4 linked regions of the Saccharomyces cerevisiae S288C genome follow. The protein of the gene in region 1 interacts with the protein of each later gene in a biochemical or structural test. Each region holds a gene or a part of one and is shown in the gene's direction. Other genes may lie near its edges. The genes, in order: CKA1, CKB2, SVF1 and CKB1.

What was found.
Region 2: the proteins of CKA1 (region 1) and CKB2 form a complex in vitro, tested with the Saccharomyces cerevisiae proteins (3 studies listed by BioGRID).
Region 3: of the proteins of CKA1 (region 1) and SVF1, one has a biochemical effect on the other in vitro, tested with the Saccharomyces cerevisiae proteins (3 studies listed by BioGRID).
Region 4: the proteins of CKA1 (region 1) and CKB1 form a complex in vitro, tested with the Saccharomyces cerevisiae proteins (3 studies listed by BioGRID).

The regions. Positions count from the first base shown.
Region 1 is NC_001141.2:283,621-290,542, reverse strand, and holds CKA1 (casein kinase 2 catalytic subunit CKA1), read left to right. Parts: upstream 1-1,634; coding exon 1,635-2,753; downstream 2,754-6,922. Other genes in the region: cAMP-dependent protein kinase regulatory subunit BCY1, read left to right, coding at 1-124; CAP2 (F-actin-capping protein subunit beta), read left to right, coding at 454-1,317; CST6 (Cst6p), read right to left, coding at 3,114-4,877; pheromone-regulated protein PRM2, read left to right, coding at 5,544-6,922.
Region 2 is NC_001147.6:403,967-407,044, forward strand, and holds CKB2 (casein kinase 2 regulatory subunit CKB2), read left to right. Parts: upstream 1-1,801; coding exon 1,802-2,578; downstream 2,579-3,078. Other genes in the region: HIR2 (Hir2p), read right to left, coding at 1-1,422. UniProt on the Saccharomyces cerevisiae protein: Regulatory subunit of casein kinase II/CK2.
Region 3 is NC_001136.10:1,161,373-1,170,257, reverse strand, and holds SVF1 (Svf1p), read left to right. Parts: upstream 1-1,598; coding exon 1,599-3,044; downstream 3,045-8,885. Other genes in the region: mitochondrial 37S ribosomal protein mS43 MRP1, read right to left, coding at 115-1,080; hexose transporter HXT3, read left to right, coding at 5,598-7,301; YDR344C (uncharacterized protein), read left to right, coding at 7,809-8,252. UniProt on the Saccharomyces cerevisiae protein: Ceramide-binding protein that may transfer ceramides from the endoplasmic reticulum membrane to the cis-Golgi network membrane, and is thereby required for the biosynthesis of complex sphingolipids. Required for survival in response to oxidative stress.
Region 4 is NC_001139.9:454,954-459,492, forward strand, and holds CKB1 (casein kinase 2 regulatory subunit CKB1), read left to right. Parts: upstream 1-3,202; coding exon 3,203-4,039; downstream 4,040-4,539. Other genes in the region: protein kinase ALK1, read left to right, coding at 1-2,114; GET complex subunit GET1, read right to left, coding at 2,210-2,917; J-type chaperone JAC1, read right to left, coding at 4,157-4,539. UniProt on the Saccharomyces cerevisiae protein: Regulatory subunit of casein kinase II/CK2.

The DNA.
Region 1 (6,922 bases):
CAGACAGGCCACTGTGACTGCTACAAAGAGAACCAAAGTTGCCACATTGGGGAAAAGTGGTTTTCAACGTTTACTGGGTCCTGCAGTAGACGTATTAAAGCTCAATGATCCTACAAGACATTAAGTAAAAAGGGGAAGCGATCTTAAATCCACATGAATTTCCTTTCTCTTTTTCTTCTTCTTCTGTTCCCTTTTTCTTTCTTCTTCCTTCAACGTCTACGTAAATATAATGTATAACATCTCCACTTTCCTTTCCCTTATAGCGTTATGTTACCTGTTTAAACTCTAAATTCTTCATCTACTACTGCTGTTACTACATGTATATATGTTCATTTTTTTTTTTTTTTTTCACCACGGAAAACGTAAAAATGAGAGCATTTGTAACAAATAAAGGAGAACTGTTCAATCAAGTGACATACAAAAACTCTCTCCAACTCTACAATCACCACCGTAATGTCTGATGCTCAATTCGATGCTGCTTTAGATCTTCTTAGGAGGCTAAATCCTACCACGTTACAGGAGAATCTAAACAACTTGATCGAATTACAACCAAATTTGGCACAAGATTTACTATCTTCAGTAGACGTTCCCCTATCCACACAGAAAGATTCCGCCGATTCAAACCGGGAGTACTTATGCTGCGACTATAATCGTGATATTGATTCGTTCAGATCGCCTTGGTCGAACACTTATTACCCAGAACTATCCCCAAAGGATCTACAAGACAGCCCCTTTCCCTCAGCCCCTTTAAGAAAATTGGAGATCTTAGCCAATGACTCTTTCGACGTTTACAGAGATCTCTATTATGAAGGCGGTATCTCCAGCGTGTACCTCTGGGACCTCAATGAAGAAGATTTCAATGGGCACGATTTTGCAGGGGTAGTGCTTTTCAAAAAAAACCAATCAGATCACAGTAATTGGGACAGTATCCATGTTTTTGAAGTTACAACATCTCCTTCTTCTCCCGACAGTTTCAACTATAGAGTCACCACTACAATCATTCTGCACTTGGACAAAACAAAAACTGACCAGAATTCTCATATGATGTTATCCGGGAACCTGACAAGACAGACCGAAAAGGACATCGCTATTGATATGTCCCGTCCATTAGATGTTATTTTCACATCACATGTCGCTAATTTGGGTTCCTTAATTGAGGACATTGAGTCTCAGATGAGAAATCTATTGGAAACTGTTTATTTCGAAAAGACAAGAGATATCTTCCACCAAACAAAGAACGCAGCCATTGCTTCCTCTGCTGAGGAAGCGAATAAAGACGCACAGGCAGAGGTAATCAGAGGTTTACAGTCTTTATAGAAATATTTACATGTATCGCTGGTATATCATATAAATACATACAGCAGCACTAAGTGGTAGAAAAGCGCTATCAAAAATCACTCGGAACGAACACTGAAGAAAAAGCGAAAAATCAAAAATATGACCAACGCTTGGAAAATTTCAGTAGCAATTAGACGAACCTCGCAGTCCTGTAGTAAAACGGATTAAGGGACTTCATATACTGTTGATACTCGGTGTATTGCAATTACCTACTAGGAGTTTTCTGAATAGGGACTTAAGAAGTCAAATATACAGACAAAAATAGGGGGTTGTAGAAGGAATATTTGATTCGAACTATGAAATGCAGGGTATGGTCAGAGGCTCGTGTTTATACGAATATCAATAAACAAAGAACCGAGGAATATTGGGATTATGAAAATACTGTAATTGATTGGTCCACAAATACAAAGGACTATGAAATTGAAAATAAAGTTGGGCGAGGAAAATACTCCGAGGTTTTCCAAGGTGTCAAATTAGACTCTAAAGTTAAAATTGTTATTAAGATGTTGAAACCAGTTAAAAAGAAGAAGATCAAGAGAGAAATCAAAATCTTAACGGATTTGTCTAACGAAAAAGTGCCTCCAACGACTTTGCCATTTCAAAAAGATCAATATTACACAAATCAAAAGGAGGACGTTTTAAAATTCATCAGGCCCTATATCTTTGATCAGCCACACAATGGTCATGCAAACATAATTCATCTATTTGATATAATAAAGGATCCCATCTCAAAAACTCCGGCTTTGGTCTTCGAATACGTAGATAATGTGGACTTCCGTATTCTTTACCCTAAATTAACCGATCTCGAAATTAGGTTTTATATGTTTGAGTTATTAAAGGCCTTAGACTATTGTCATTCAATGGGAATAATGCATAGAGATGTTAAACCTCATAACGTAATGATTGATCATAAGAATAAAAAATTGCGATTGATAGATTGGGGGCTTGCTGAATTTTATCATGTTAATATGGAATACAATGTTCGTGTTGCGTCGAGGTTTTTTAAGGGTCCTGAACTACTAGTTGACTACAGAATGTATGATTATTCTTTAGACTTGTGGTCGTTTGGGACAATGTTGGCTTCTATGATCTTTAAAAGAGAGCCATTTTTCCATGGAACGAGTAACACAGACCAGCTTGTCAAGATCGTCAAAGTACTTGGTACAAGCGATTTTGAGAAATACCTGTTGAAGTATGAAATTACCTTACCGAGAGAATTTTACGATATGGACCAATACATCAGAAAGCCTTGGCATAGATTCATCAATGATGGTAATAAACATTTAAGCGGCAACGATGAAATTATTGACCTTATTGACAATCTTTTGAGATATGATCATCAAGAAAGATTAACTGCTAAGGAAGCGATGGGACACCCGTGGTTTGCCCCAATAAGGGAACAAATTGAAAAATAAGAAATAAATAATGAATGAAATAAAAAAAAAAAAATCACTGACAAACGATATAACGATTACTTTTTTTTACCATCTGTACAATTGTACTTAATTCTAATAGATTTAAAAAACTAAATACAGGTTTAAAGGGCTTCCTCCATACAACAGAGGCAAGGAGGACTAAGGGGTTGACACGAGCAAATTTCATACATGCAAAATAATAATGTCTTAAAGGTAATTTATACCATAAATGTAGTAACTAAACGAAATAATAACGGCAGAAAAGAAAGGATGCAGCTCGAGTATTTATACACGTATATTACATATATAGTTGTCCTTATCATTCTTGAATGAAACACCGTTGTGCTCACCAAAACTTTGTTATTTTATCTTTTCAGAATTGGGTAATGATTGGTTGTCTGGATCCTTACCACCTTCTACGGGCTTGAGATCTATATCGTCATCGTCAGTATCGCTTCCGAAACGTTGAGAGTATGGCTCGTGCTTGATGGCTATGATCTTACCAGTATCTTTATCCACTTCTGTAACGTCTGAATCGATCATTAAAAGTTCTTCAATGATCTTTAATGAATCCACAGTCATGCTTTCATTTTTGTTGCTACTATTAGTGCCATTAACATTATTATCTGAGTCTTTATTTAGTTTTTCATGTTCACGTAAATGAATTTTGGAGAATTTCTTGAATTTAGAGATTAGTTTTTCATAGTAATTTAACTTTTTCAGTAAAATTCTATTCTCGTCTTTAATTTCGTTAAATTCCTTTTGGAGCTGCAGCTGCGCAACCTTTTTCCTTTGTCTACATTTCGAAGCTGCAATTCGATTTCTTTCTAACAATCTTGCTCTCTTCCATGCCGTAGTACCAGGGATTGGATTTCCCTGTGTGTTCGCCGCTAAATTTAAATGAGATCCTTGAGATTTTGGAGTGAAGCTAGGATTAGAGTGAGATTCCCTAAGTGCAGATTTGCCCCTATTTTCACCTCCAGTAGTTGGCGCAAACGTCGTCATGCCTTCCAAATCACTTATACTCTCCGCTGGAGTATTCTTTGATGGCGCGTTTACAAAATTTCGCTGCTGACTTTTCGAGTAAATAACGCTCTGATCACCCAATGCGGAGTCCTTCGTGGGATTAATAACTTTTTTTGCATTGTATTGTGGAATACTACTAACCGGCACTGCTTGGTTGAAGACCGGCTTGTTTGATACATTCCTAGTTTGGCTCAGACCATTATAATTGTGAAAATTGGGCATCGGGGGCGGCTGTGTGTTGTGCAGGTTTTCCAAAGTTTCAATATCTTCGCCTAGCTGGCTTATTTGACCGTTAGAGATTGATATTCTTCTTCTTCTAATTGGCTCATCGCATCCAGGCAAAGAACTTTGGAAAATTGGTGGATTCGTCATAGGTAAATGTGCTACATCAACACCAAAAGGTTGAAAAAATGGCGACAATGTTTCCAGGATGGATGGATCGTTCAAGGCATGTGGGTTGTTATTCATATTCATGTTCATGAAATACATCTGCTTGTTCACAGAAGCCGTATTGGCGATGTTGGACGCATTAGTCGGGGCTGTAGTAGAATCATTCGGAGCGGACTTACGGGTAGACGACAGTTGGCTCAGATTTGTATGAGTGGCCAGATTCTGATGCATATCCTGTACGACACCAGAATTCATCAGAATATCACCGTAGAGTTGGGATTCCTCTTCAGTTTTCATAGAGGGTGACTGTTGTCGCTGATCCTGCTGTTGCTGTTGTCGAAGGTATGCAGCCTGCTGATAGTTTGAATTGGCGCTGGGTTTAACAACCCGATCATGCGAATTGACGTTTCCAGCTGCAATAGAATATTGTGGGGTTAAAGAATTTCTATTGGAAGTAGTATAATCATGTATTTGGTCAACCACACCAGCCATATTTGTGCTATAGTTTATGTCAGTAGGATCTAAGGATCTACTTAAAGCAGAATTGTTCATAGTAGAAGTGGTGGTGGCGGCGGCAGAAGTATCACTAACAGAGTGCGGTATCTTATTATTCAAGATCTTTGATGTGTCATCAATACCACGTTTATTGTTGTCTTTTTGCTTGTTGGAATTAGAGTCTACGGAATGATACTCCTGACCAGTAAACATTATCCTACCAAAAAGGTGTGGGCTTATACTTTTTTCTTTACTACTTTAGATCTTTTTAGATCCTTTTGAATCTTCCAATTGAAAGACTGCTTTAAAAGCGAGTTTTTGATTTAGAAACACCAACAGATACGTATACACGATAACCTCTATAGCGGTTCTATTTCTGTTAACAAGAAGGTACTTGAAAGTGATAACTCAAAAAACAAGAGTACAATATGAAAATCTTTTGCCTTCATTGTCATTGTCATTGAATCCCCGATTATCATTGTCAGCAATTTCGGAGAAGGGGGCAACTATGTTCCGTGTAAGGTGATATTACTCAAATGTGTCACAATTTCAACTTCTGGGAATAATATTTATAATAGTTGAGATTATTCTTGATTATAGAGGCGACAGCTTATCTTAATTTTCGCCAATAGGTTTGGAAGAACATTGGTATTTTCATTCGGTGCAGCATTTTAATTCAGAATTATAACCGTCCTTGTACGGTTATAACAGCACATTATTGAAAAATGTTTTAAAAATGTTTCAGCCCAGTAATAAAACATTTACATATGCTATCTTGGCCCTTTATATAACATGTAAAGCAAAAAACTAGAACACTAACATGGCTTAAGTAGCTGAAAATCTACACCACTTTTCGATAAAACTAAGAGTACGGCAAAGATGAACAATGTACACATAATTAAACCTTTATCACTTCCACAGAGGTTTTTTAGTTGTATTTTCCATCCTCTATTACTGATATTCTTTACTTCTGTTATTTTAACTATTTGGGGTTCCTTTTCAGTCATTGACATTACAATGGCAAAAATGTCTCACGCACAGGTCAAACGAAATGATACCGTCTCAACCTTTGCATCTATTTCAACTGCTACAGCGACAGCCACAACAACGGCCACAACAACGGCCACAATGACAGCAGTCACAACACAGCATGCCATATATTCTGCCAACAGTTACTCTTTAAATAAAACATTCATTGATAATACAATTGATCAGTATTTCGAAAGCAAACTACGGAGTATTGAATCTACGGTAGGTACGGATATGCAAGAAAAATTCAAGTCATACACAGACGACATACTGGATAATAAACAAAAACTTATCAACGACCAAATAAGTTTGGAAACTGAATTGATTAAGGAAGTTCTTGAGGTAAACAATACAATTTTTAACGAACTACTCACTAAATCACAGCTGATAAATGACACATGGAATGAAATATCAGAAGACGCAATGACCATTGATAAGGATTCCATTTCACAAATGGCATCAAACCTACTGTTAAATTACTCCATGTTTGACAGTATTTTTGGGAACTACTCAAGGAAATTGAAATCATTGCAGAACTTCAATGGCACTATCACTGACTTTTCTACTCAATTAGATACCTCTAGTACCTTAAGTTTGAATTTTCTACGAAATTCCACTGACTGGCTTCAGTTGAAAAGGAACTTTACTGCAAACTTACAGAATGAAATTTCCATTTTATCTGGGGGGAGTACCGAGGTTACATCGTCTACTTCAATAATTAAACGGTCTCTGAAAACAAATAGCGAGGAAAACAGTGTACTAAGTGCAGTAAAAAATCACGTTTTCCGTAAATGTAAGAGAATGACAATAATTTTCACAGTCATGTACTTTGCATTTGTGATTTTGCTCATGGCAATCGAAAGAATTCTGTTTCAGCTGGAAAATCAGCAAGTAAACCTGGTTATGTCCCAAATTAATGGCCTGACAGGACAAACCAATTTTACTAAATACAACAAAGTTTTGAAAAGCTTAATTACTACTCTGAATCTCAGTACACTTTATCCAATTCCCTACCAATTAACAAAGCTTATCAATCAAAAAATATTTAAAAGAGAACCAGAAAAAATCGATGACAAAAAAGTCAAAAAATCAAAACTATTTTACTGTAACTGGTGGATAATCTCAAATGGGGCTCACCTGTGGCTGTTTGGTTTTTTGATGTTATTAATTCATTGGCAGATAGTGACGCGATTAACAAACTTTGAAGTACCCAGTTTGCCTACATTCCA
Region 2 (3,078 bases), on another chromosome or scaffold:
CTCTTTTTTCTGCTTTTTGCTGCCAGGGGCAATGTTACTTGGAGTTGCCTCTTTTGGCTTTCTCTTCAAATCCCTTGGCACAGTGTATGATGGAGTGTTGAATTCCATTGATGTGCTCTGGATAGTTTTGATGCCATTAGTTTGATTGTTAGCCGTTTTTTTTTTGGTCGGTTTCTTGCCCACGGCAGATCTACCAATATCGTTTGGAATAGGTGCTGCGCTTGCAGATTCTTCTAATTTGATGTTTTCTGGGAAACTTTTCGGTATTTGTTCTGCTAACGGCTCTTCAAGCTTTGGAAGCTTTTTGTTTACTTCTTGTAACGATTTGATTTCCGTTTGAGGCAATGCTACACCTAAATCCTTCTCTTGGAATGCGAATGTATACAATGTCGCGTCGTTTGAAATGGCAAACAAGGTGAACCCATCCTGTGACCAAGACATATCGTTTATTGCGGTGGAGGAAACCTGGAGAGCATTAAACAAAGGTTTCATTCTCTTCGTATTCCAAACCAAAATAGTACCGTCTGTAGATCCCGAAGTGGCGATTAAATTATAGCGTGTGCTGGTGCCCTTTTTCAAATTAGGCTTTTCATAAAATGCTGGAGAATAAACAAGAACTCTACATCCATTTGAAGAAGGTGTTACCAGTGTTTTTGTAACTTTGTAGTTGTTATTTCTGTCAAGTAAAGCGGTACAGCTGGTAGCATTATTCGGCACACCTTTCACCGAGTTTATCACTGGTAAAATGTCTGCCTGAGGTGACATTGAGATTCTATAATGTAATGGATACATTTGTACATGCTGCGTAAGTTTATTTATGAGTTTGTGTGTACCCGTTTTGTTAATTTGATAGACTAAAATTGATCTATCTGAAGTCATAACAGTAAAAGTTTGGCCAGTAGGATCTATTATGCCTGTAATAGGTTTGCTCGCCTTGTCAATAGTTATTTCAGAGAGTTTATCAAAGGTTTTATGCCGAAATAATAGTATCTTATTTTCATTACTTAAAAGAACAAATAAGATACCTAAGTTTATGTCATATTTCACATCCGTTATTGTGCTTGGAGATTTACACTCGAACAGAAGCTTACTGTTCATTTTTTCGACAGAATTGATGTTATTTGTATCTCTACAGAGCCAACCTGAATAACCCCACAGACGATGTTCAGATCCAATATACAATGTTTCGAGATCACCTGTTATGAAAAAAATATCACCGGTAGTATCCTGATCCACCTGGAAAGAAACTTCTGGCTTTAAATCCTTAATCATAACCCTATCGAATGCAGTATCGACTAGTTGTTGTTGTCTCCACGCCATCACGTGACCCCCACTGCCTGCCAATATGATATAGGGACCAAGGGCAGCTAAGGCATTCACTTGTTCATTATGAATATCCAAAGGATACTTTAATAATCTCATTGTTCCGGATTGTGTAGGAACTCCTTTGCTGCGTGGCGTATTCCTCTGTATGGACGATTTAGCACTTTTTGTATATTGTTTTATGAAGACTTCATAATTCTAGCCGAATTAACTGATATTTTTTTCGCGCTTTTTTTTGTCGACCTTCCAGGAAGAAAAAATATGAAAGCGAATAAATGGAGGTGTATTGGCAATCCTTTATCAAATGAAAACAAGCACCAAATAGAATAAGTAAATCACATTCTTAAAGAAGTTGGTCATTCCAGATACGTGGAATTTTCCTGCTGTATTTTTTCATCAATCTTTTACTTGAGAAATACTAGCTTTTTTCAAATTATTCAAGATTAAGGGACTTAGAGAACTGATAGAAAAGCAGATCATGGGCAGTAGATCGGAGAATGTGGGAACAGTGACTAGAGAAGGCTCCAGAGTGGAACAAGATGATGTCCTCATGGATGATGACTCTGACTCATCGGAATACGTGGATATGTGGATCGATTTATTTCTTGGGAGAAAAGGCCATGAATATTTCTGTGATGTCGATCCTGAGTACATCACTGATCGTTTTAATCTGATGAACTTGCAAAAGACAGTTTCAAAATTTTCCTACGTGGTACAATATATTGTGGATGATTTGGATGATAGTATCCTAGAGAATATGACACATGCCCGTTTAGAACAATTAGAATCAGATTCCCGGAAGCTGTATGGTCTCATCCATGCACGCTACATTATAACTATCAAAGGATTGCAAAAAATGTACGCTAAGTACAAAGAGGCGGACTTTGGAAGATGTCCCCGTGTGTATTGTAATTTACAACAGTTGTTACCGGTTGGTTTGCATGACATTCCTGGTATAGATTGTGTCAAGTTATATTGTCCATCTTGTGAGGATCTTTATATACCAAAATCATCGAGACATAGTTCCATTGATGGTGCATACTTTGGAACAAGTTTTCCAGGTATGTTTTTGCAAGCATTTCCAGATATGGTACCCAAACACCCAACTAAAAGATATGTTCCAAAAATATTTGGATTTGAATTACATAAACAAGCTCAACTGACAAGGTGGCAAGAACTACAACGACTCAAGTTAGTTGAGAAACTTGAATCCAAAGATGTTGATTTGACGAAAAGTGGTGGTTTTAAAACCTAACTATTAAAGAAAGAAGAAAAAATTCGAAATGAAATCCTAGGCGAAATTGAAAACGAAAATGAAAATAATGGAGAAACTTCGTCATAAAATTGTGAAAATCAGGTATCATTTGTTCTCCTAGCATTTTCTTTCCTAGAATATTACTATTTTCTACCTCCATTCGTATTTTACTTTTCCTATTTAATATTAAATTTTTATATACCGTTATTGCCCCTTACGGCAATAATACAACCAGATAAAAGAGCGTGCTCCGAAGTTAGCCTGTTATATATCAACAATTTGCAAATGTGGTTACCCACGAATTATTGGTGTTATTTTAGTGAATAGCTTGAAATCTTTGAATGTAGGAAGCATCCTTATTTATCAAGAAATTGGAGAAGTGGCGGCATCGCGTGGAGACTGCCTATGAACTAAGAGGCGGTTTATATTTTAAAAACTCAAAAGCTGTTTGAAGACTAATCTGGAAGTACTGAAAAGAGGAGATTTACTCATTCTTTGGT
Region 3 (8,885 bases), on another chromosome or scaffold:
AATAAAAATAATTTAAGACCACGTTATATACACATTACGAATAGTTTGACTTTATATATTTACAGAGACTACCAACTTATATCAAAAGGAAAAAATTCCCATTACCAGTTTCATTCATAACGTGTTGAATGCTTGGATCTTAGTACGTTGAGGTAACCTTGACTCTACAATTTTCCATTCTATAGAGTCCCATACCCTTTCTAAATATTCTCGTTTCCCAAATACGCCATAATCAGTTAACCATGTTTTTGGTGACGCATCAATGGCTAAAAGCGGGATATATGAAACCTCTTTCCCAGAAAAACCTTTCTGTTGGGTTTCATAAATAAATTTTGTCTTGGCTTGCTTGGCAGTCATCTCAGAATCTTCAAGATTACCGGCTTCTTTGGCTCGTTGTTTTTCCATGTTGGTATATTGGTTATTGAGCTCATTCATTACCCCAGATGTAGAGAAGTTGAAGGGAGTTCCCGCATTGTACGTATTCAATATAAACAGCTTATCATATTCAATATCCCTGTTTGGCATGTCGTTGCGCATAGCACGTTTGTCGAGCTGCCGTCTTGCGACTAACCACGTAAACCCGTCGCCTGATATAGCAAGATTTGAATTTATTAATAATGTTCTGAACTCCATCAAAGACCCAAATGAAGAAATTAGAGCTGCTTGCAAACGTTCGTTGCCAGTGGTCAATGGCTCATTGCTTATTGTCCTATTGAAATCAGGGGTCTGAAGTAGCGCCTCTGGACCTAGCCTGGGGCATTCCTCTGGCGGAGTCCTGATACATCCCTGAAGGGAAGACATGCTAAATTTCAAGTTGTACAATGATGACGCATAGTTCACGATATGTTTCTTTGAAGCAGATTTCGAATTTTCATGGATGAGAGTTTCTAAGGGTTTTTGTTGCGCTTCATTTGTACAATCGTTCAATTTTGCATCGAGATATTTCACTCGGTCGAACCATGCTTTCTGTAATCCTTCAATAGAAAACAGCCCTTTCAGAGGAGCACCTTCTTTCAGGTGCTCGAGTGCATACCTAGTAGAGTACTTTCTAATAGCGCGAGCACCAGTAAAGCGAAGCATGGTGCTGGAAACCTTAAAATTCAAAAGTATTTAGATTCCCCCAGCTGTTAAATGGCAAATCACTGATTGTTTCCAGATCCTAGCTAAAACTGCGGTTCCTCCCACCGTTTCTGCCATACTTTTCATCACTTATGCATTATGATATTGCTCTTGAGAGAATCTGAGCAAAATCCTGCATAATATAAATCTCACTTTCCACGGAACTTCAGGTCCGGTTTAGTACCGCTTTTTTTCGTTGTTTTTTTGTTGTTGAGGAGGCAAACTTGCGATGAGTGGGAGAAAACAAAAGCGAAATGACAGCTGGTTGATTGAAACATTCGGGGATATCTTGCAAGATTACTCCTTGAGATTCACGAATAGCACGGCTTTTCGTTTGTTATATATAGATAGAGCCTGTTGATAGAATTCTTTTGTATTCGTTTGATAATTTGAAATCTGTAGAAGATCAAAAGATTCAGTCATTTATTGCATCGAATCAAGAAAAAAGAAACGAATAAGCTTTTGTATAATATAATATAATGTTGAAGTGGATAAAAGGTGGGATCTCAGCAGTCACTGGTATGGCTGAGCCTGAATATGGGAAAGATTACATTCATAGTGTTGCTGATAGGGTAAAAAATAAGCAGCCTTACAGAGAAACCAGTCGTGAAGATTTTTTTTGGCAAGCTCCTGACCATACAAACGTTGAATCGGTTATCTTTTATTTCAGTGACTTGAAAACAGGTATCTTTGGATTTGCCCAGGTTATTCATTCGAACATCATTGGGTTGCACACTGCATCCCAATTTACTTTCAGAATTTTTGACTCGAAGAATCCAGAGGATTTGAATATCTGGACTTCCACCAAGTTGGAAAATTTTTACATCGAAGGTCCAAACTTCTATGCCGACAATCTTTCTGTAGAATTAAGTGAAGACGGTGAAAGCTATCACATTCAATCCAGTGTTTGTGATTTATCTGTCGTTGACTTGCATATAAGAAGGTTAACCCCTGGAGCCAAGATAGGCGATGATCCTGCGACTTATTATGGTAACAATATCAATGAACCATGGGGTAGCATGAGACACGTTTTCTGGCCAAGGAATGCTTGTCACGGTACTATCAAAGTTAAGAAAGAAGTTATTCCAGAATCTGATGAAGAAGAATCCTCAGCTGATGAGGATGATAATGAAGACGAAGATGAAGAGTCTGGTGATTCTGAGGAGGAATCTGGTAGTGAAGAAGAAAGCGACAGTGAAGAAGTCGAAATCACCTATGAAGATCGTACGATTACTTTTAAAGAGGAAGACCCTGCGATTTCGACATTTATAATGGCCTTCCAAGGCATGAAGCCTCATCACGCAGCTAAGGCATGGAACTTCATGTTTTTCCATTCCGAAAAGTATTCCGCGGTGTTGATGGAGTTCACTACACCAAAATCATATGCCAACACTAAAATTTCTGCTGGTATTATTACCGATGATAAAGAAGTTTTAGCGATGACAACTAACAATCTTGTTGAGCACTTAAACTCAGAAATTGATTCTGTTGGTTGGAAAGTTCCAAAAGATATTAAGATCACCTTCAAAGGTATCAATACCAAAGTCAAGGATGAACAATTGGAATCCGAGAATGGGACTGAACAAGCTTTACAAGGAGAGGATGAAAAGGAAGATGAAAAGGAAGATGAAGAGGAAGAAGAATACAAGAACGTCGCAGAAGAAAATAAGATCTGTGCTGTTGTGGAGGGTCCGTTGAACAACCTAGTTGAAAGAATTGATGTGATGGGCGAAATTCCAAGTTTTGTTAAAAACATCGTCTCTGGTGTTGCTGGTACTAAGCCATTTATATACCAATATGCTGATCCAAAAAGCTCAACTTTACAAATAAATGGCGGGGAGAAAATTCACGGTGTAGCTTGGACCGAAGTAACATTCATTTCTGAATCAGATGTGATTAGTGAGGAGTCTTACAATGAAGCATGAGCAAAAGTGGGAAGGTCTCGTATGCTTTTTCCTATCTGTGATTTAATACTACACAAATCTAATATTGCAAATTTTAATAATTATAGCAAGTTATCGTTATACCCCTTTTTAATTGTTGCGTCACATAATCGATACTATTGTTCAAAATAAGAGTGATGCGAGAAATAGCCACAGTAAACAATGTTGCCATAATAAATAGTTGTCGTTTTTATTCATCTCATTTTTCTTATGTATCCATACATATATATATATAATGTAATATAGCCTGAGCAAATGAATAAAGTTTTCGTGGATATCTGCGAAATATACCCTTGCAAGCAAAACAAAAGAACTCTCAGAAAAGGTTATAATACAGGTGCTGGTAGGAGTAAGTACGTTCCTGGGGCTTGGTATTTATCGGGATGAAGTGATCATATGTATTGTTCCAGGTTTAATGAAACACCAAATGTATTTAATCAAAAAGAAAACCTTCCAGACTATTTTAAATGGCTCAAATACAAAATACCGCAACTATGCACTTCGTTTTAGGGATCCATCTAATCTGCAAAGTCGGAAAATGGAAACGATCCTATTGACGCGATCCTTATGGGGTAAATTAAAAAAACCTTCACGTTAGGATACTACAGCTGAAGTAAGCGTCTCACGTAGCGCGCAGTCTATTTTTGGAAGTTAGGGGCTAATGATTTTCTACGGCTGCCGAGCATGGATGATGCCTTTATTTAGAAGCATGTAAAAAAAGCGTCTCAAAACACGGAGAAATGCACTAACAATGGGTATACTAGACTTGTTAAATTCAAATTTCGGCGAAAAGAGACTTGTATTTCATTAGTTACTTTTCGTTCAGTTAAGCATGATCGTCTAGGCGTTCCATTAACTAGTATCTTGGTTCTTTATGTAGTTTGAAGTTATCTCTGTAATTAGGCTCCTCATTTGCCAAAGTTAAGTATTGGATGTGTGTGCAGTATGCTTTCATGCCTCTATAGCAAAAATCAATGGCTCTCAAGAAATTTGTCGTAACCCACTTTAGCATATTTATTTACATTTTGTCGGAATATTATTTCTTCTCTACAGAAAAATGAAAGCAACAGAATTGAATTTCGACAAGTCACAAACAAACTTTGTAGACTTTTTATTACAAAAATTTATTAAGTGACATTCACTACTTGTATTATTGTGAGAGAAGTACATAGCACCGGGAATCTTAGACAGGGTTACTACTAACTACAACCCTCATACTGCCTTACGTAGCCAAACAAGAGCAGTTCTCAGATTACAATGGGAGATCATTTGAAAATATCAAAGATTGATCAAGAATATTTTACTGGTGGCATCCGCCCGCCCTTTAATTTCGGAATTTAGTGCTGCTTACAACTCTTCATTTTCCTCATGCGGGACGCCAGCTTTGGTGCGGGATGAAGGCAATATCCAAACCAGCATCAGGAAAAGCCTGAAGAAATGTGGTGCCTAATGCTCTTATCTAATCTGTATCCACACCTTACAGCGAAGTGTTCAATTAACTGTGCGGCTAATTCTGACACTTCATCAAAAATTACACCGGTATATCAAATGGCGGTGTAGTTTGAAAAGTACACTGTATGTCCATTAATAAAATTACGCCGAAGAACACTGACTAGCTATAAATTCTCTTCCGGCGTCCAATTTCAACCTAAGGCAAGTATTGTTAATCAATAATGCGTGTTGGTAAATATGAAGCCCGATGTTGATTAAGAAGAATTATTCGTATAAGAATTAAGCAAGCAAAATTAAGGAAAATTTTTTCTTTCCTATTCGTCATCGCAGACAGCCTTCATCTTCTCGAGATAACACCTGGAGGAGGAGCAATGAAATGAAAGGAAAAAAAAATACTTTCTTTTTCTTGAAAAAAGAAAAAAATTGTAAGATGAGCTATTCGCGGAACATTCTAGCTCGTTTGCATCTTCTTGCATTTGGTAGGTTTTCAATAGTTCGGTAATATTAACGGATACCTACTATTATCCCCTAGTAGGCTCTTTTCACGGAGAAATTCGGGAGTGTTTTTTTTCCGTGCGCATTTTCTTAGCTATATTCTTCCAGCTTCGCCTGCTGCCCGGTCATCGTTCCTGTCACGTAGTTTTTCCGGATTCGTCCGGCTCATATAATACCGCAATAAACACGGAATATCTCGTTCCGCGGATTCGGTTAAACTCTCGGTCGCGGATTATCACAGAGAAAGCTTCGTGGAGAATTTTTCCAGATTTTCCGCTTTCCCCGATGTTGGTATTTCCGGAGGTCATTATACTGACCGCCATTATAATGACTGTACAACGACCTTCTGGAGAAAGAAACAACTCAATAACGATGTGGGACATTGGGGGCCCACTCAAAAAATCTGGGGACTATATCCCCAGAGAATTTCTCCAGAAGAGAAGAAAAGTCAAAGTTTTTTTTCGCTTGGGGGTTGCATATAAATACAGGCGCTGTTTTATCTTCAGCATGAATATTCCATAATTTTACTTAATAGCTTTTCATAAATAATAGAATCACAAACAAAATTTACATCTGAGTTAAACAATCATGAATTCAACTCCAGATTTAATATCTCCACAAAAGTCAAGTGAGAATTCGAATGCTGACCTGCCTTCGAATAGCTCTCAGGTAATGAACATGCCTGAAGAAAAAGGTGTTCAAGATGATTTCCAAGCTGAGGCCGACCAAGTACTTACCAACCCAAATACAGGTAAAGGTGCATATGTCACTGTGTCTATCTGTTGTGTTATGGTTGCCTTCGGTGGTTTCGTTTTCGGTTGGGATACTGGTACCATTTCTGGTTTCGTCGCCCAAACTGATTTCTTGAGAAGATTCGGTATGAAGCATAAAGATGGTAGTTATTATTTGTCTAAGGTTAGAACTGGTTTAATTGTCTCCATTTTCAACATTGGTTGTGCCATTGGTGGTATTATTTTGGCTAAATTGGGTGATATGTACGGTCGTAAAATGGGTTTGATTGTCGTTGTTGTTATCTACATCATCGGTATTATTATTCAAATTGCATCCATCAACAAATGGTACCAATATTTCATCGGTAGAATTATTTCCGGTTTGGGTGTTGGTGGTATTGCCGTTTTATCTCCTATGTTGATTTCTGAAGTCGCTCCTAAGGAAATGAGAGGTACTTTAGTCTCCTGTTACCAACTGATGATTACCTTGGGTATTTTCTTGGGTTACTGTACCAACTTCGGTACTAAGAACTACTCCAACTCTGTGCAATGGAGAGTTCCATTAGGTTTGTGTTTTGCCTGGGCTTTGTTTATGATCGGTGGTATGACTTTCGTTCCAGAATCCCCACGTTATTTGGTTGAAGCTGGTCAAATTGACGAAGCAAGAGCATCTCTTTCCAAAGTTAACAAGGTTGCCCCAGACCATCCATTCATTCAACAAGAGTTGGAAGTTATTGAAGCTAGTGTTGAAGAAGCTAGAGCTGCTGGTTCAGCATCATGGGGTGAGTTGTTCACTGGTAAGCCGGCCATGTTTAAGCGTACTATGATGGGTATCATGATCCAATCTCTACAACAATTGACTGGTGATAACTATTTCTTCTACTATGGTACTACCGTTTTTAACGCTGTTGGTATGAGTGATTCTTTCGAAACTTCTATTGTTTTCGGTGTCGTCAACTTCTTCTCTACTTGTTGTTCTTTGTACACTGTCGATCGTTTTGGACGTCGTAACTGTTTGTTATATGGTGCCATTGGTATGGTCTGCTGTTATGTAGTTTACGCTTCTGTTGGTGTCACCAGACTATGGCCAAATGGTGAAGGTAATGGTTCATCCAAGGGTGCTGGTAACTGTATGATTGTCTTTGCCTGTTTCTATATTTTCTGTTTTGCTACCACTTGGGCTCCAATTGCTTATGTTGTTATTTCTGAAACTTTCCCATTGAGAGTCAAGTCTAAGGCTATGTCTATTGCTACAGCTGCTAATTGGTTGTGGGGTTTCTTGATTGGTTTCTTCACTCCATTTATTACTGGTGCTATTAACTTCTACTACGGTTACGTTTTCATGGGCTGTATGGTTTTCGCCTACTTCTACGTTTTCTTCTTTGTGCCAGAAACTAAGGGTTTGACTTTGGAAGAAGTCAATGATATGTACGCTGAAGGTGTTCTACCATGGAAGTCTGCTTCATGGGTTCCAACATCTCAAAGAGGTGCTAACTACGATGCTGATGCATTGATGCATGATGACCAGCCATTCTACAAGAAAATGTTCGGCAAGAAATAATTTCACGCTAAACCGTAGTGCTGAATAATAGTGTATTTTAAGATTCGATGTGCTAGTCAATAATGATAAATAATACACAAGATTTATGACTTTATATATATAATTCTCTGATACAGTTAATAAAAGACATTGGTACATGATATCAAACAGAATTTTAACATTTCTTGATCCAGTTTGTAAACAAAACAAACAATTTTTCTACCATTTAACTTCATACCATCGGCGAGAGCCGAACAGGAAAAAAAAGAAGTCTCCGGTTATCGTAAGCAGTATCAAATAATAAGAATGTATGTGTGTGCAATTTGTTATACCCACGAAGAAGTGCGCAGTAGAGTTAGAAAACCAACTGAGTAATCTTTACTCCCGACAATCGTCCAATAATCCTCTTGTTGCTAGGAACGTGATGATGGATTTCGTTTGAAATCCGGACGGAAAACTCAAAAGAAGTCCAACCACCAACCATTTTCGAGCCTCAAGAATCTCTAAGCAGGTTTCTTTACTAAGGGGATGGCCTTTCTGTCCTGGACATTTTTTCCTTCCTTTTTTCATTTCCTTGAAAGGAACAGATTTTTTTTGACTTTTGCCACACAGCTGCACTATCTCAACCCCTTTTACATTTTAAGTTTTCGGGTTGAATGGCATCAAATTTGGGAAAATTTAGCTTACTCAGACACCAACACATTTTTTCATGAGTATTGTTGGAAAATCTTTCCATGCTTATCAGCCGGAATACGGAACAACGGCTGCTGTGATGCCGCAAAGGGGCAAGGAAAAAATAAGCAACACACACCGAAACAGGAGGAAGAAATTCCGAACACAAGCCTAAGAAGACACCGCAGTTGTTGCAACATGTTCACATGTTCATCCCCCTGCTACTACTTGGAAATTAATGTAGGGGTAATTGGAGTGCGCCGGCCCGTGCTTTCAGAGGAACAAAGGAAGAATTGTTAAAAAAAGGCAGTGACAACGAGCACGGGTGCACCATATGGTGTGATAAGCAACCTAGGACAAAAAGAAGTGCGCAGTTCCTGTGTGCGGCGCCAAGACAAATGTTTCATATGCTTCTCCAAGGGGCTACGCTACCTAGCCTCACCACCCGATCTCTTTTTTTCCTGAACGCAGAGGGGACCGTACGAAAAAAAATGTTTTTTAGGCAACGGAGATTCGTTTTATCCACGTTTACCCCACAAAAAGTGCAGGTACATTGTGGGGCCCCGGCATCGAAAACCAGTTTTTTTCCTTTAAACGCTGGAAAAAAAGGAGAAATTATTGGAACTTTGCAGAGAATAGTCCGTAGGCAAATTGAAAATGTTCCTTAAAAAATTTCGTTTCTTACTCATTGAGATTATTCAGATGCCCTCCGTGCCTTCATTGAAAAAAATCCAAGAGATGTCTCGGATCTGTATGCAGATTTTGGCTTGCAGACAATGGAGAGCAAATGGGTATACAATATAGAAAGCACAGAAACATATAAAAAGAGCTCGAGAAAAGACATATGGTTTGTAACTATCTTCTTCTTTTTTCCAATTTTTCTGTTTTAATAATAAAAAAACAAGAACAAACAAGCTCAACTTGTCTTTTCTA
Region 4 (4,539 bases), on another chromosome or scaffold:
TGACTGCTGACACAGCTGACGAGCTGGAAAGCTCTGCTATCTTAAAGATGAGGGAGTCTGATGCATCTTTAAATGTTACCACCGGCAATAATACATCAAGGAAAACGACTTCCAATTCCAAAAAACGATGGTCTCTATTATCCAATCATTCTGCTGTTTCATCATCTAAATCTAAGAAAAGATGGTCTGTACTTTCTTCAAGCTTTACCAGTGAATCTCATAAGGACAGGGAATCGAGGAACGTTTTGCAACAAAAAAGAAAATCCTTGCAGAGTTATTCAAGCTTAGATACGGTAGCATCTAATAGCTCTATCTCTGCTTCTTCTTCTTTGAAAAGATCGTCCACTGGTCTTTCCCTCAGACAATTGTTTACCAAGATAGGCATAAACGATGATATATCACAACCTGGGATCGGGATTCCGCAAGGTAAGGAAAATCTGCCTCCAACTATGGGCAAAAAAAATTCATCAATTGCTTCCACTAGTTCGGAAAACAGACTTAGGACACCATTGAAGCCGCTTGTTAATCATTCTAAAAGGCCCACTTCACAACCACAACAGCAACAACCACTATATAATGCATCATTGTCCTCGAGAAGATCGTCGATTTCTTCCACTGTCTCTTCTTCCAGCTCGTCTAAATGGAGATTCTGGAAGAGAAATAAGAACCAGACACCTGCATTGTTGCAACCAGACCACCATTCTTTAAAAACCTTTCCTGCAGTAAACCGTCGTGATTCCATGACGCCCGTTGAACCAAGAAATATGGTAAAACATAAGACATCCTTTTCAGATTTCCATAAGACTATCTTCAGTTCAAATACGTATTCTGAAAGCAGCGATACAATATCTTCCATGGAAATTACTTTGAAAAACAAAGCTTCTTCCTCAAGTCTATCTTTGAACGTGTTGAAGAAAAGGAATTCGCAATCAAGTTTGAAGCACAAAAGTTCACATGCATCCTTACAAAAATTCAAAAGAAACAAAGGAAAGTCCTCCATGATAGCACCATCGACAGCAACTAATAGCAGCAATGATGACTCTTGTAGCTACAGTTCCAAAAATTCTACGTTGAGTCACCGAATATCGTTACCTGTACCGGACCAAGTTTCCCGTGATAAAATTCAGAACAAATTAAGATATTCGACCTCATTACTCTCATTAAATTCTAAATCATCTTTACCGATGAACAAAAATGATCATGATGAGACACTTCTAAGACAGATTTTACTAAATTGTGATATAAAGAGAATTTTAAACCCCGCAAAAGGAGATGTATTGCCTTTAATCAACGATGTAAACCATTTGTCATCAATACAATTAACATCAAATGTTTGGCAAATTGGTGAAGTAATCTGTAAAAAAGTTTCTCTCGGTACTATTGATGACATTACATGGGATAGAAAGTTCTTATCTTTGCAGGAACTGGAAAAACTCAAAATCATGCAACAAAAATTTGATGGCATACCGCAACTATTGAAAAGTTTTGTTGTTAAAGAGGCAAATGGGGGGTTGTATTTGTACTTACTATTCAAAGATCACGGTACCCCAATTTCGTTAATCTCACTGAAAAACTGGAAGCAGATTCTAAAGATTTTTTGGTCTTGTGCTGGTATAATTCATGGGTTGGAAAAAAATTTGAAATTTGAACATCGTAATCTTACTTTGGATAATATTTTGATAGATGGTAATGGGAATATAACAATTATTGATTTTAAATGCAGTAGATTGCAAACTCCTCAAGATGATGTTTTATATCTACGGCTAGATCATCCACTCTTTTTTCTAAATGGGAAAGACAAGAGTAAAATAAACGAATACCAGTATCAATTTGAGTTTGAAATCTATCAAAGTATGCGGATCTTGTTGAACATGGACGCGTCAGCTTTTGAGCCCATGACAAATTTGTATTGGTTATATTACCTGTCACGCGTTTTACTAAAGTTTGGTGACAGGAAGCTTGGTAAGAATGATGCAAACAGGGATAAAATGGCAAGGGTGATAAACCATTTGGAAATGAACTTGGCAGTTCATAAAAGAGGGGGGCAGTTATTCAAAAGATTGGAGACGGAGGACATTAAGAATACTGGAGATTTACTAAAACTTTATAAATAAAACAAATAGGAATGTTGACATTTATATTTCATTTTCTTTCTATTGTATACTCCAATACATAAACATATTATATATACGTACATAATGTAATAACACTAATCTAAAATAATGGCATCGTCGACAGCATCCAAGGCTTTCTCCTCTTGAGTCTCCACAGATGCAGGTGCTTCCATTTTGGGAGTCAAAAACAATTGCTTAACGATAAATTCCACGCCGTTGATGACATTCATCAATGCCCAAACCCAGATTCCCAAAGAGACACTCTGTAAAGCCATATCATCAAACTTGGAAGCACCAAATTTGCCCTCCATTATATGCCATTTCTGAGAAATAGTCCTTAGAGGATGCAAGAGAACATATAACCAGCCTTGAGACCAAACACCACTTACAAACGTAGGGAACAAGGTGCTAGTCGAGGAACTCAACTTGTAAACTGGTGTCTTGCCGTACATAATCTTAAACACAAAAAATGGCACCGTCAATGCCAATAACCTGAGTTTGTGAAGATGGGCCTGAAAGGCTTTATTTTCTGATTGTATTTCGTCCTTCAAGTTATTTATTTCTTTATCTAACGAGTCCAATTTTCTATTGTTCTTAGTCCATTTGGCATAATTATCCTGCGCGGAGATAGAGTTGTTGAATTCTTTTAATTCGTGACGTTCTTTGACCTTGGCTAAGTATTTTTTGGATAATTCATTTCCTGGTGCAAATTTAGAGATCCATTTCTCGTGGTATTTGTTTGTATACTGTAGAAACTTTGTGACCACAATAAAGAATATCGCTACCGCTGCTGCCCAATGCATTTCTCCTATTTCAATCAACTAGACGTAGTTCAAGGATTGCAAACTGTCCTGCTTTCTTTTATCTGGTCTTTTTATCCCGAGGTATTGTTGTATATACCACTACTCTGTGATTTTTTTTCACTCTTGGGAAGGAAAGAAAAAGTGAAAACATCAACTGGTAAGTGTCTAATGACAAAAACAGGAGGTAGTTGGTACGTGCAAAACACGATAGTGACGTTAATCCGAATCTGTAAATTGGTGAATTGGTATTTAGAAGCGACCATTAGCTAAAAGAGAGAGAAAACTATGTCGCAAGAGTTTGTGGAAGACTATTCACGTACAGGGTCCTCAGACGACGAGGATAGTGGAGCTTATGACGAGTGGATTCCATCGTTCTGTTCCAGATTTGGTCACGAGTACTTCTGCCAAGTCCCGACAGAGTTTATCGAGGATGATTTCAATATGACCTCGTTATCCCAAGAGGTACCCCACTACCGGAAAGCTCTGGATTTGATATTGGATTTGGAGGCTATGAGTGATGAAGAAGAGGACGAAGACGACGTGGTGGAAGAAGACGAAGTGGATCAAGAGATGCAGAGTAATGACGGTCATGATGAAGGCAAAAGGAGAAACAAGTCGCCAGTGGTGAACAAGAGTATTATCGAGCACGCAGCAGAACAGTTATACGGATTGATACATGCAAGATTTATTCTGACCAAGCCAGGCCTGCAAGCAATGGCTGAAAAATTCGACCACAAGGAATTTGGAACGTGCCCCCGTTACTATTGTAATGGCATGCAGTTGCTGCCTTGTGGGTTGAGCGATACAGTTGGGAAACACACCGTAAGGTTGTACTGTCCCAGTTGTCAGGACTTGTATCTTCCCCAATCATCTAGATTCCTGTGCTTAGAAGGTGCATTTTGGGGGACAAGCTTCCCTGGTGTGTTCTTGAAACATTTCAAAGAATTGGAAGAGTATGTGGAAAGGAAAAGTAAAGAGTCCTACGAGTTGAAAGTTTTTGGGTTCAGGATAAATGATGAGGCAGTATCTGGTCCTAGAATGAAGTGGTTGAGACAATATCCATCCACGGAGGAGGACTGGGAAGAATTTGCCAAATGCGAGTTCGAGACACCGGCGGTTTAACCCTTGATTTATTTTCCTCTTTGCCCTACCATATACATATGTACTTTACCTATTTACATTGTTTCAGTTTTTATATCACCACTATTATTATTATTACTATTACCACTTTGGAGTACTTTAGTGATTCATTTCCAATTGTTTTCCTGGAGCCCAGTCTTTGAATGCCTTGGCCAAGTTGTACCAGTACTTTAGCTCCACGGTCAACTTCACTGCGGCGGCGTAATCCTTGTCATTGTAGCATTGTCCCAACTGGGCTTCAATATCTTGAATTCTTTCCTTGTTTTGCTTTTCAAGCAGCTTCACACCAGCTTCGTCGTCCATCTGGGATAATTCATCATGGATGTCTAGAACTTTCAATAGTAACTGTGGATCACTGGTAGTTACTTCATTTGAGGTCTGTTCTTGCGTCAAATCGATATTGCGCAAGAGTTTTAGCATATATTGTGACCTTCTAAGGGGATCTTTGAGAGTATGGTAAGCTTGATTAAGAGTTGATGACT